Schizosaccharomyces pombe: one gene and its partner. Changing the gene in region 1 together with any one later gene gives a genetic interaction. Each region holds a gene or a part of one and is shown in the gene's direction. Other genes may lie near its edges.

Region 1 (3,913 bases):
GGAAGCCTGAACCAAGCTTGGTTTGCATTGCTGAATTACTTGTGGTAACAAAAGCCTAGCAGTATCAAAAAACTGTTTTCCTGGGTTGTCAAAAGGATTGCTAGCAGAACGAATTTCCATGTGAGCAAACATACTACCAAGTGCAAAGATCATCATTAGCAAGCAAAGAAAGCCAGGGTCAACGGATGGATTTTGGAAGCTCATGATAAGGTTTAAACGATAACGAAGTAATGTTTCATGGAAAAAGAAAAAATTTGCTTGAACATGGCCATAGAAAGATTTGATAAGAAAATCTGAAACTTCAGGAGGAGGGAGAAGACTCAGCGCTTTTTGAACAGCATTTACATCATGTTCATTCGGAGGATAACTGTGATGGGTATGGGAATACGCGCTCAGCTCGGAAAAAGAAGGATCGACAAGTAGTTCACTTTGAACAGAGTCAACGAATGCTTCACCAGCAGAAGCTCCTATATAACGGGATTCGCCGTTAGAGTCAACTTTTATTTTTCCAATTAATTTCATGATTTCGTCAACGCTTTGATCGCTAGCATCAGCATTGATTCCATTGTTCGTATCCTCTGCTACGACCGTTGGATCTTGCTGAATTTGTGAACAAACAAGTGCACCTTGTGTAAGGGTATCCACGTCACGTTGACTATTGGTGCTTTCACTATTGAGGGAAAAGACATCTGAAGATAATAGTGATTTTTGGTTGCTTATACGATTGCAAACTTCAATCAATGAAGGTGTAGTATAAGTCGAAACTTTGGTGGAACAAAGACGTTCAACAATATATTCTAAACACTTGTATCTTTTTGAAAGATCAATAAAGTAGTCCTTAGAATAATCCATTTCTTTTTCATCCTTTACTGGATATGTGCATTCCAAATTATTGGAAGCACAAGCTTTGCATGGGTTTGCCCCGTCGCAACGAACTTTCCGGGCTTTGCAGTTAAAGCAGGCTAGAACCACCCTTCTTCGTCTCTCCATAGGAACACGACGTCTCCTATTATGCTGCTCCTGCTTCATGGCTTCGAACAGAACCGCCGTATTTTCAGGTGAAAATTCATGGCTCATTTTCCCCGTTTATGTTAGTAAAATACCAAGTTCATACCAATTTCCATAAATTTAAAATTCTTTTTCTATATTACAGAATTTCAATTCTGAAAAGAGAAAATGCTTAACTATGGCAATGACTTGGCAGAACTTGATTAGTAAATGCCTAAAAGAAAAAATTGTAGTACCCCAGCTCCTATGTTCTACTGGAGGGCGTAATTTAGTGTAGTGGTACGAACCTTTTTTATCAACGAAATCTAATATATACACATATTATTAGTATATGAGACCTTGTTTATACATAACTTTAAGAAAAAATCTAACCGATTTTAAATTTTTGAAAAATAAATACTGCTTGTATTGTACTTTGAAAATGGGAACTTCCGTCAATTTCTTTTCGTTGACGAGCTTATACGTTTATTGAAGCATGGCATGCAATCGATTTTTGTTAATAATTTTCCATTTTAGTATTTCTTCAATAAAATGAGTATTGTGTACATAGTAAACTAATTGCACACATATCGGTCGACACGCTATTTCATAAACGGAATGTAGTACGAAAATAATAGCTATTTTGATTAAAACCCTCTTGAGTTTCAATACAAATGTAAATGTTGCGTTATATGAACCCAAAGTTTAAAGTTCAAAGTCAAAGGCAGTAATGAATCATAGATTCAAATGAACTTGAGCTTACTCTTGCATTCCTGTTGACCTACCTAGTCAAATTTCCCATTATGTATAAAGGTTACGAATTTGTTACCTTCTAATCTGCTTAACCTTAAGACTAAAATAATTTATTCCTTATAAGAAACAACATTTAATGAAATGATTGCAAAGTAAAACACGTAGGATTTCCTTTGTCGTTCTACCAACACCTCCAAACCTTACAACGTATCGTTGTTTCTCATGTAAAGGGAAATTTTCCTATATCCTTTTTATGCTGTTATCAATTTAATATAAACTGTATCGCTGTTATTCTAGTAGGTCGCACTGTGCTGGATTTAACCTTCATTGAAATAAATGCTGTCTAGTCAACGTATGCGACTTCCAGCCTAGCTAACTGTGTCTAATACTTTTTAGATCGTCTAGTGACTCAACCTGCTATTCGTGCGTACGAAGCATTTTCTGCTCCAGGTTTCGGCTTTAATTCAAAATTATTGGATGATGCGTTTGGAGGAAGTGGTCTTAAAAGAGGGTATATTTCTGAAGTATGTGGAGCACCTGGGATGGGAAAAACAAGTTTGGCTTTACAGATTACTGCAAACGCTCTTCTTTCCGGTTCTCGTGTGATTTGGGTCGAAACTTGTCAACCAATTCCCATGGAGAGACTTCGTCAACTATTAGACAATCACGTCCCTTCTTCCCAAGATGAAGAGGAAAAATGCGATACTGATGAGTTATTAAATCTTCTCGATGTTGTATATGCACCCAATTTAGTGAATATTCTAGCTTTTTTACGAAATTTCGATCAAGAAAAACATCTTAAAGAAATTGGATTATTAATTATTGACAACCTATCAATGCCTATTCAACTTGCATATCCAACCAGTCCAGAAGATTATGCTTATCTACGTCTTCGTCGTAATACCAGCAAAAAAAGCTCCCTTTCAGATTCATCTCAAAAAGAAAACACTTTGACGTTAAACAAAGAAAATGAGTTCTCGAGTAAAGACGACTCGAATTTTGCATTTCATAACTCCTCTACCAAAACAACAATAAACCGCAGAAAAAAGGCAATCGGTACAATCAGTTCTTTGTTAAGCAAAATTACATCCTCTTGTTATGTGGCTATCTTTGTTACCACCCAGATGACTTCAAAAGTTGTTAGTGGGATAGGTGCTAAGTTGATACCGCTTCTCAGCACTAATTGGTTAGATAATCTATCTTATCGGCTCATTCTTTACAGTAGGCATTCAACTGAAGAATCAAAAGATGGACAGAGTCGTCCCTCTCATCAGCTTCTGCGCTATGCATTCATGGCAAAGCAGCCACCAGCTCATTCTGCAGAATCAGAGTTGGCTTTTCAGTTAACATCTACTGGTATTCAGGATTATCAAAGTATTCCTACCAATAGCTCACAACGACGTAAGAGATCCATTTTGGAATGTGAGTCCTAGGTAAAAATGGTGGCTTCAGTTACGAATTTTTTAGCATAGTGATGGTTGTTTTGCCCATATCTATTAATTTATTATACCTATTCATTACGTTGCATAAACAACTATGAATACTTGTCGAGTGTTGGTCAAAAGTTTCTCAATGATTTATTTGTGATCTCATATCTTTTCATAATGTATCATAAGCTATTTTGTTCGTTCATTTTTATGAAATTGCTAATTGTCATAGAGGAGGGAAATGATTAAGATATCTATATGTTTGCTGATTGACAAGTCCTTATTAATTTTCAATTGTTTAGGTGTCGCATTCAGTGTACGGACAATAATGACATTATGCTTTCGACATATAAATTCCATGTTGACATAGTGACGTCTCAAGCCTAGCTCAAATCTTTAAAACATGGGTTCAAGTCGCTAAAAATCTACCTGAACTTTACAGCTCTTTTGTTACTTTCGAAAGTGTAGTCTAATAAGTCCATTTTGAGCCTGACCTTATTTATACTTCGCTTTGTCTAGTGTGAGTTGGCGGATTAAGTATGTTTTAATGAACATTGTTTCAACCTACCTCTAATTAACATACTAACCTTTTTATTAGTATTTCCTTTCTCTTTTTATATATACATATTTTCAAAGTCTTAAATCGTTTATCAAGTAATTAGCAAGATGATGGGCACTCAACCATCTTACTCTATTCATACGCTTCGCGCGCCTCCTAAAGCGAAACAGAATCAAATTCCTCCCTC
Region 2 (4,945 bases), 1.4 Mb from region 1:
AGGAAACGAACGGATGATGCTTTGCTGAGCGTGAGGGAGGGATTTATTGGAGACGTCGTCATCCTCTTGTTCTAAAATTTTTGATTCATTAATGGAAGGGACAATGTTGGATGAAAGATTCAAGGCGGTTGTTGAAGCAGGAGGAGAATTATTAGGAAAAAGAGGGGTTTCATTATCAGAACTACGATTGAAAAGTTCCGGATTAAAACGCTGCAAAATGGGCAGGACTAAGGAGGAGGAAGTAAGCAAAAAGACAAAAAAAAGCAAAGATAAAAAAAAGCCTTACCATTTCTTTGCTTGAAAATCTGTTCCAATGTGCTAGGAACACCTAATTGATAACAGGCAACCAAGGCAAGCAAAACGAAAAACTGAATTTGCCGTAAGGGTTGATTGCTTGATGATTCAATCAAGGTAAAGAACTCTTTCATTACATCTTGAGGAACATGAAATATATCAGAATAACTTTCTTCTTCTGGAAATAAGAGAACATTGTTTGCTTGAAACACGTCCCAATAATTTCGATATTGCAAAGGAATGGATGAATTACCTATAGACAAAAAAAAGAAAAAGAAAAAGGTTAGCATCATTACAGTAAGTAAGTAAAAAAGCAAGAAAGATGAAAAAAAAAAAAATCAAGCTAAAGAAACAAATCAATGATAGAATGCATCGATCCGTAAAATTAACTATTAATTGAGAAGGAAAAAACAGAAGAACAAAACTTTTACTAACCAATTGCTGTTTTATAATTTAAAGGCTTCACTGGTGAACCCCAATTACTGCTAGATGCCCATGGATCAGGCTCTAAAAATACATTATCGCCCATAAATGGAAACCCCGATGTTCTCTATCTTTTCGATGATCACTTCGTACAAAAGAGAAAGAAAACAAAGAAGATTTAATAAAATTTGAAAGCTAAGAGAGGTCCAATTGAAAATGTACAAATAATGCTGCTAGCAAAGAATTCTAAGCTGACAAACGAATTTTTCAAATCTTCACGAAAGTAAATGAATTTTCTTGTCTCTTGCACCAGTTAAAAATAAAATGATACGAGAAATAACTAAACTAGCGTACAGAGGTTTCAAAATATGTAAATGGCAGAAACCAGGTTTTACACGCTCAAACACATATACATATGGACAGTGTTAATTTCGCCAAAAAACCTTTGACGTCACATCGCTCGCTTCTCATAAAGTAACATGCTAACCAACTGTTTTGACTGAGTAGTAGCTATATAGAAAATGTAAATAGAAGACGTTTTCGAAAGAGTTGGCTAAATTGAAAGAAAAAGAAGTAATTTCTGTATTTATTGCACATTCTTGGATGAAAAAATCTGACCTTTTCTATGCATTTCTTTTTTTACGATCAAAACCTTGTATTTTTTAAAAAGTACAATATATACGACGTTGATTGACTAAAACGATTCAAGGATCAAAATATAAGTTAAGTAATCAACCAATCTTATTTGGAGTCTATGAAAGATTCTTGGGCGATCGTTGTTTGACCCGCAATTATAAATGCTGGCGTTCTAAATTACTGCAAATTCGCTTGAAGTTCTCAGAGGAATCGATCGATCTATAAAACAAATACGAATAGTTTCTACTTCACTAAAAATAATTTTTTTTTTTTTTTTTTTTAATTTGCGATTTCATTTGAATTATCACTTAAGTATGCACAGTACGACCAAGTTGTGGCCTTACTTTTCTAGCTGCTCTTAAATCAAGCATAAACATGATTTCTTCTAACATCTTTTTATCTATTTTCAAGTTTTATTTTAATCCGTCTTTTTCTGTGTACTTCTTTTTGGTCTCTCAAACCACTTGCTCAACAGCCCTACTGCCAAACCCTTGGATAGACCTTGCACGAAACCCAACTCACAACACTTAAGAAATGCGGTGAATTCGTGAACTGTTATGAAATGCACGCAGCTTTATGATAAATTCTAACAAAAAAATTCAAAACTGAATCCCATTCCCACTAGAATTGTGGTTCGTTTCCTGTATAATTATAATTGCCAGTTCCCTTTCCAAAATGCTAAATGAACGCGATTTTGACTTGATTTTCGATTCATATGACTTTAAACATGAAGGAAAAGTATGAAAAAAATTGATTGCTTATGCAGGTAGATCTTGTTTATTGAGTCAGAGACAAACTCTCAAGACTCTGGTTTTTCTCGCTTTACCCAATTACCAATAGGATAAACTATTAACAAAAAATTTTCTTAGGTTCATCTTTCCAACTTTTTGCCAATCATCAATGACCTACAACTCTTACATCCCGCTTCTGCACCACCTCTTTTGAGCGAATTCCAAAAACAATGTACACTCGAATTCGTACGGCAAAATGCAGATCTCTCTATTACAAAGGATAATTTTCGAGACGTATATAAAAAACTTACTGAAAACGAAGATGACTCTTTTGCGAATCAAGCTGAAAAGCCTTCGATGGAGCAACAGAATTCCAAAAATTCTATCAAAGAGGATGCAAATGAACACTCTGTCAATTCTGCACATTCAAAATCATCTTCTAATGCCTCTCCTGAATCCTTAAACCCTTCTCAAATGATGTCTAAGAGACTGTCCTTGCCGCCGATGTCTCAATTTACCGACAGTGATTTTGTCAATATTCTTCGAACTCCATTTGCCCAATCTACACCACTAAATAGGTAAGAATTTTTTTTTTAGAAAAGTCATTAAAATTCTAACAAGAAGAAATACGTCGTCCAGAAATACTGAGATGCCACTTGTTAGGAAGGATAAACCTGATTTTTCCAACGGGCACCATGATCTAATCAAGCAAATCACAGAACTCCAGGATATGTTAGATAAAGCTCGAGATCAAGCTAGAAAGAAATCTCGTACTGTAGATATTTTAGAAGGAAAAGTGAATGAACTTACCCACCAACTAAATATGGCAGATTCCAAATATAATGAATCTAAGGTAGCCAATAATTCGCAAAATAACCAAATTAAGACTCTTAAGGCTCAAAATCTAAACATTCACAAAAACTTTCAGAAAATTCAGTCAGAACTCATACAGACAAACTCTGGCCTCTACTCCACAAAAAAAGAGCTTTCAGCCTTGCAAGTTCGGTATGCCACTCTCTTGCGTAAGTTTACAGATCAGACTAAGAAAATTGAGGAATTAAGCTTGGCTGCATCTCGGTCAAGTGAAAATGAGAATACTATTCGTCGGCTTGCTTTAGAGAACCATGAATTAAAAAATTCTAATAATCAGCTAAACAACCACATAGATGATCTTACTAGAGAAAAACATTTAATTGCTTTGTCTAATAACCCAAAAGGAGATGAATTTTTATCACCCTCTAACCTTGACGAAATGGTTTACTCCAAAGAGGTTGGCCTTTCTTTCACTCAACCATCAGTTTGCATTTCTATTCCTGCGGTTGGAATGCGGGAAAGTGAAGAATTAAGAGAATTGGAATTTAAATGTAAACAACAAAAGAAAACGATAGAAGAATGCAAACACATAAGTCAATCATTGCAAAGCTCTCTTACTGCTGAAAGTTCGCGAAACAAAGAATTGGTTGCTGGATTTTTGATGCTTTCAGAGGAAATTGGTATCCAAAAATGGATTATTCAAAGCCTTTCCAAAATGTCTCCAACCCTAAACGACTTTTGTCGTCGGTACGATTCCTCTATGCCAACATATGAAGAATCAAGCCACGAATGCACAGTTCTTTCGAGCTTTAGTGACGATGAAACAGGACTCATGGCAACTAATACAACAATGAATAACTCCTCTAAAGATTTTATGGCGTCTCAAGATACTGTTAATGCAGACAACCCCCATTTTCTAGCAACGAAAGGACAACCTTTGCTTCTTTTATCGGTTATGAAATCCAACATTTTGCGACTTTTTTACGTCCTTTTTCTTTTTGCCTGTTTTTACGGACTTGATTACATATTGTGCGCCGAGCTATTGCAAGCTTTTTTGCGTGTTGTATTTACATTTTGCGAACATATAATTATACTCCTTTATGGACGGTATGAACTGGTACAGCCTTCTTGATAATTAGGCGACTAATAAATAATGACGAAAATGAAGATGCTAGCGAAAGATTTTTTTTTTCTAAAAAAAAAATCAGTGCTGATTTAAATTGCTTTACCCTTTTTCAACTTTTTGTACATAAAGGTGCAGCTGAATAATGGGTCTAACGGATAAAGCAATAATGGAACTTTCTAATTTAATAATAATGTATTTTTATGGTTGTGACGATTATGATTTTAGATGCAAGTGAAGATGTGAGAAGATTCAACGTCTTGTTGCTTTTGTTTCAGATGTGGAAGAGACAATAAGATAGGTAATTATCGTTGAGGTTATCCCCGTAAACCAAAATAAAGATGTGAAAACGAGAAATGCGGAAACCTTATGCGTATACATGAACCAGCTAGTAAGGACAAGTTAGTTTGTGAAAAAGTATAACAGGTAAAGAAATTGAGTAAAGTAAAAAAAATGAAGAAGGTAAATCAAAAAGTAAAACTTACCGCATGCCGTGCAATTTTGATGCAAAAGCTAGAGTCGCTTCGTAAAATTCAATATCTTTAGAATAAATTTTGACAATAGCTTGAGCTGGAGTATTTTTGACAGAAAATCTAACGGAAAGTGTTGTAATTGAATTAAAACTTTTAGCAAATGTTTCAGATTCGAACAAACGGACATTGACAATATCTGTTTCTTCCAAAATCCCCATGAAGTAAAGAGGTGAACATACAATTAGCTTAAGGTATTCGTGAATAGGAGACCTATGAGGAAGCAAGACTGTTCGTTTAACCTGCTTCAGAGATCTTTGATTTCTATCTTGAAAATCGACAGAAACCATAAAATTGCCCATAGCACTATTTCGAGGAGAATGCGGCATTTTGATTTGAAGCAAAGATGTGCCAGGTAACCTAGGATCAATTGAGAAATGGTCCAATCTGACCTC

The links. Genes that interact genetically often act in the same process or in processes that back each other up.
Region 2: of rad55 (region 1) and kms1, a mutation in one rescues a mutant of the other (synthetic rescue), as found in Schizosaccharomyces pombe (one study listed by BioGRID).

Annotation. Positions count from the first base shown.
Region 1 is NC_003424.3:2,065,928-2,069,840, reverse strand, and holds rad55 (DNA recombination mediator, RecA family ATPase Rad55/Rhp55), read left to right. Parts: upstream 1-1,926; 5' UTR 1,927-2,076; coding exon 2,077-2,092; intron 2,093-2,136; coding exon 2,137-3,173; 3' UTR 3,174-3,399; downstream 3,400-3,913. Other genes in the region: SPOM_SPAC3C7.04 (transcription factor), read right to left, coding at 1-1,077; eisosome BAR domain-containing protein Pil2, read left to right, coding at 3,837-3,913. UniProt on the Schizosaccharomyces pombe protein: Required for radiation resistance and meiotic viability and acts in recombination and recombinational DNA repair pathways.
Region 2 is NC_003424.3:3,461,037-3,465,981, forward strand, and holds kms1 (protein Kms1), read left to right. Parts: upstream 1-1,861; 5' UTR 1,862-2,028; coding exon 2,029-2,091; exon of another isoform or gene 2,092-2,222; coding exon 2,223-2,662; exon of another isoform or gene 2,663-2,708; coding exon 2,709-4,029; 3' UTR 4,030-4,272; downstream 4,273-4,945. Other genes in the region: sei1 (seipin), read right to left, coding at 4,273-4,408, 4,506-4,945. UniProt on the Schizosaccharomyces pombe protein: Has a role in karyogamy, recombination and segregation during meiosis. Although it has been shown to associate with the spindle pole body it is unlikely to be involved in its formation or maintenance.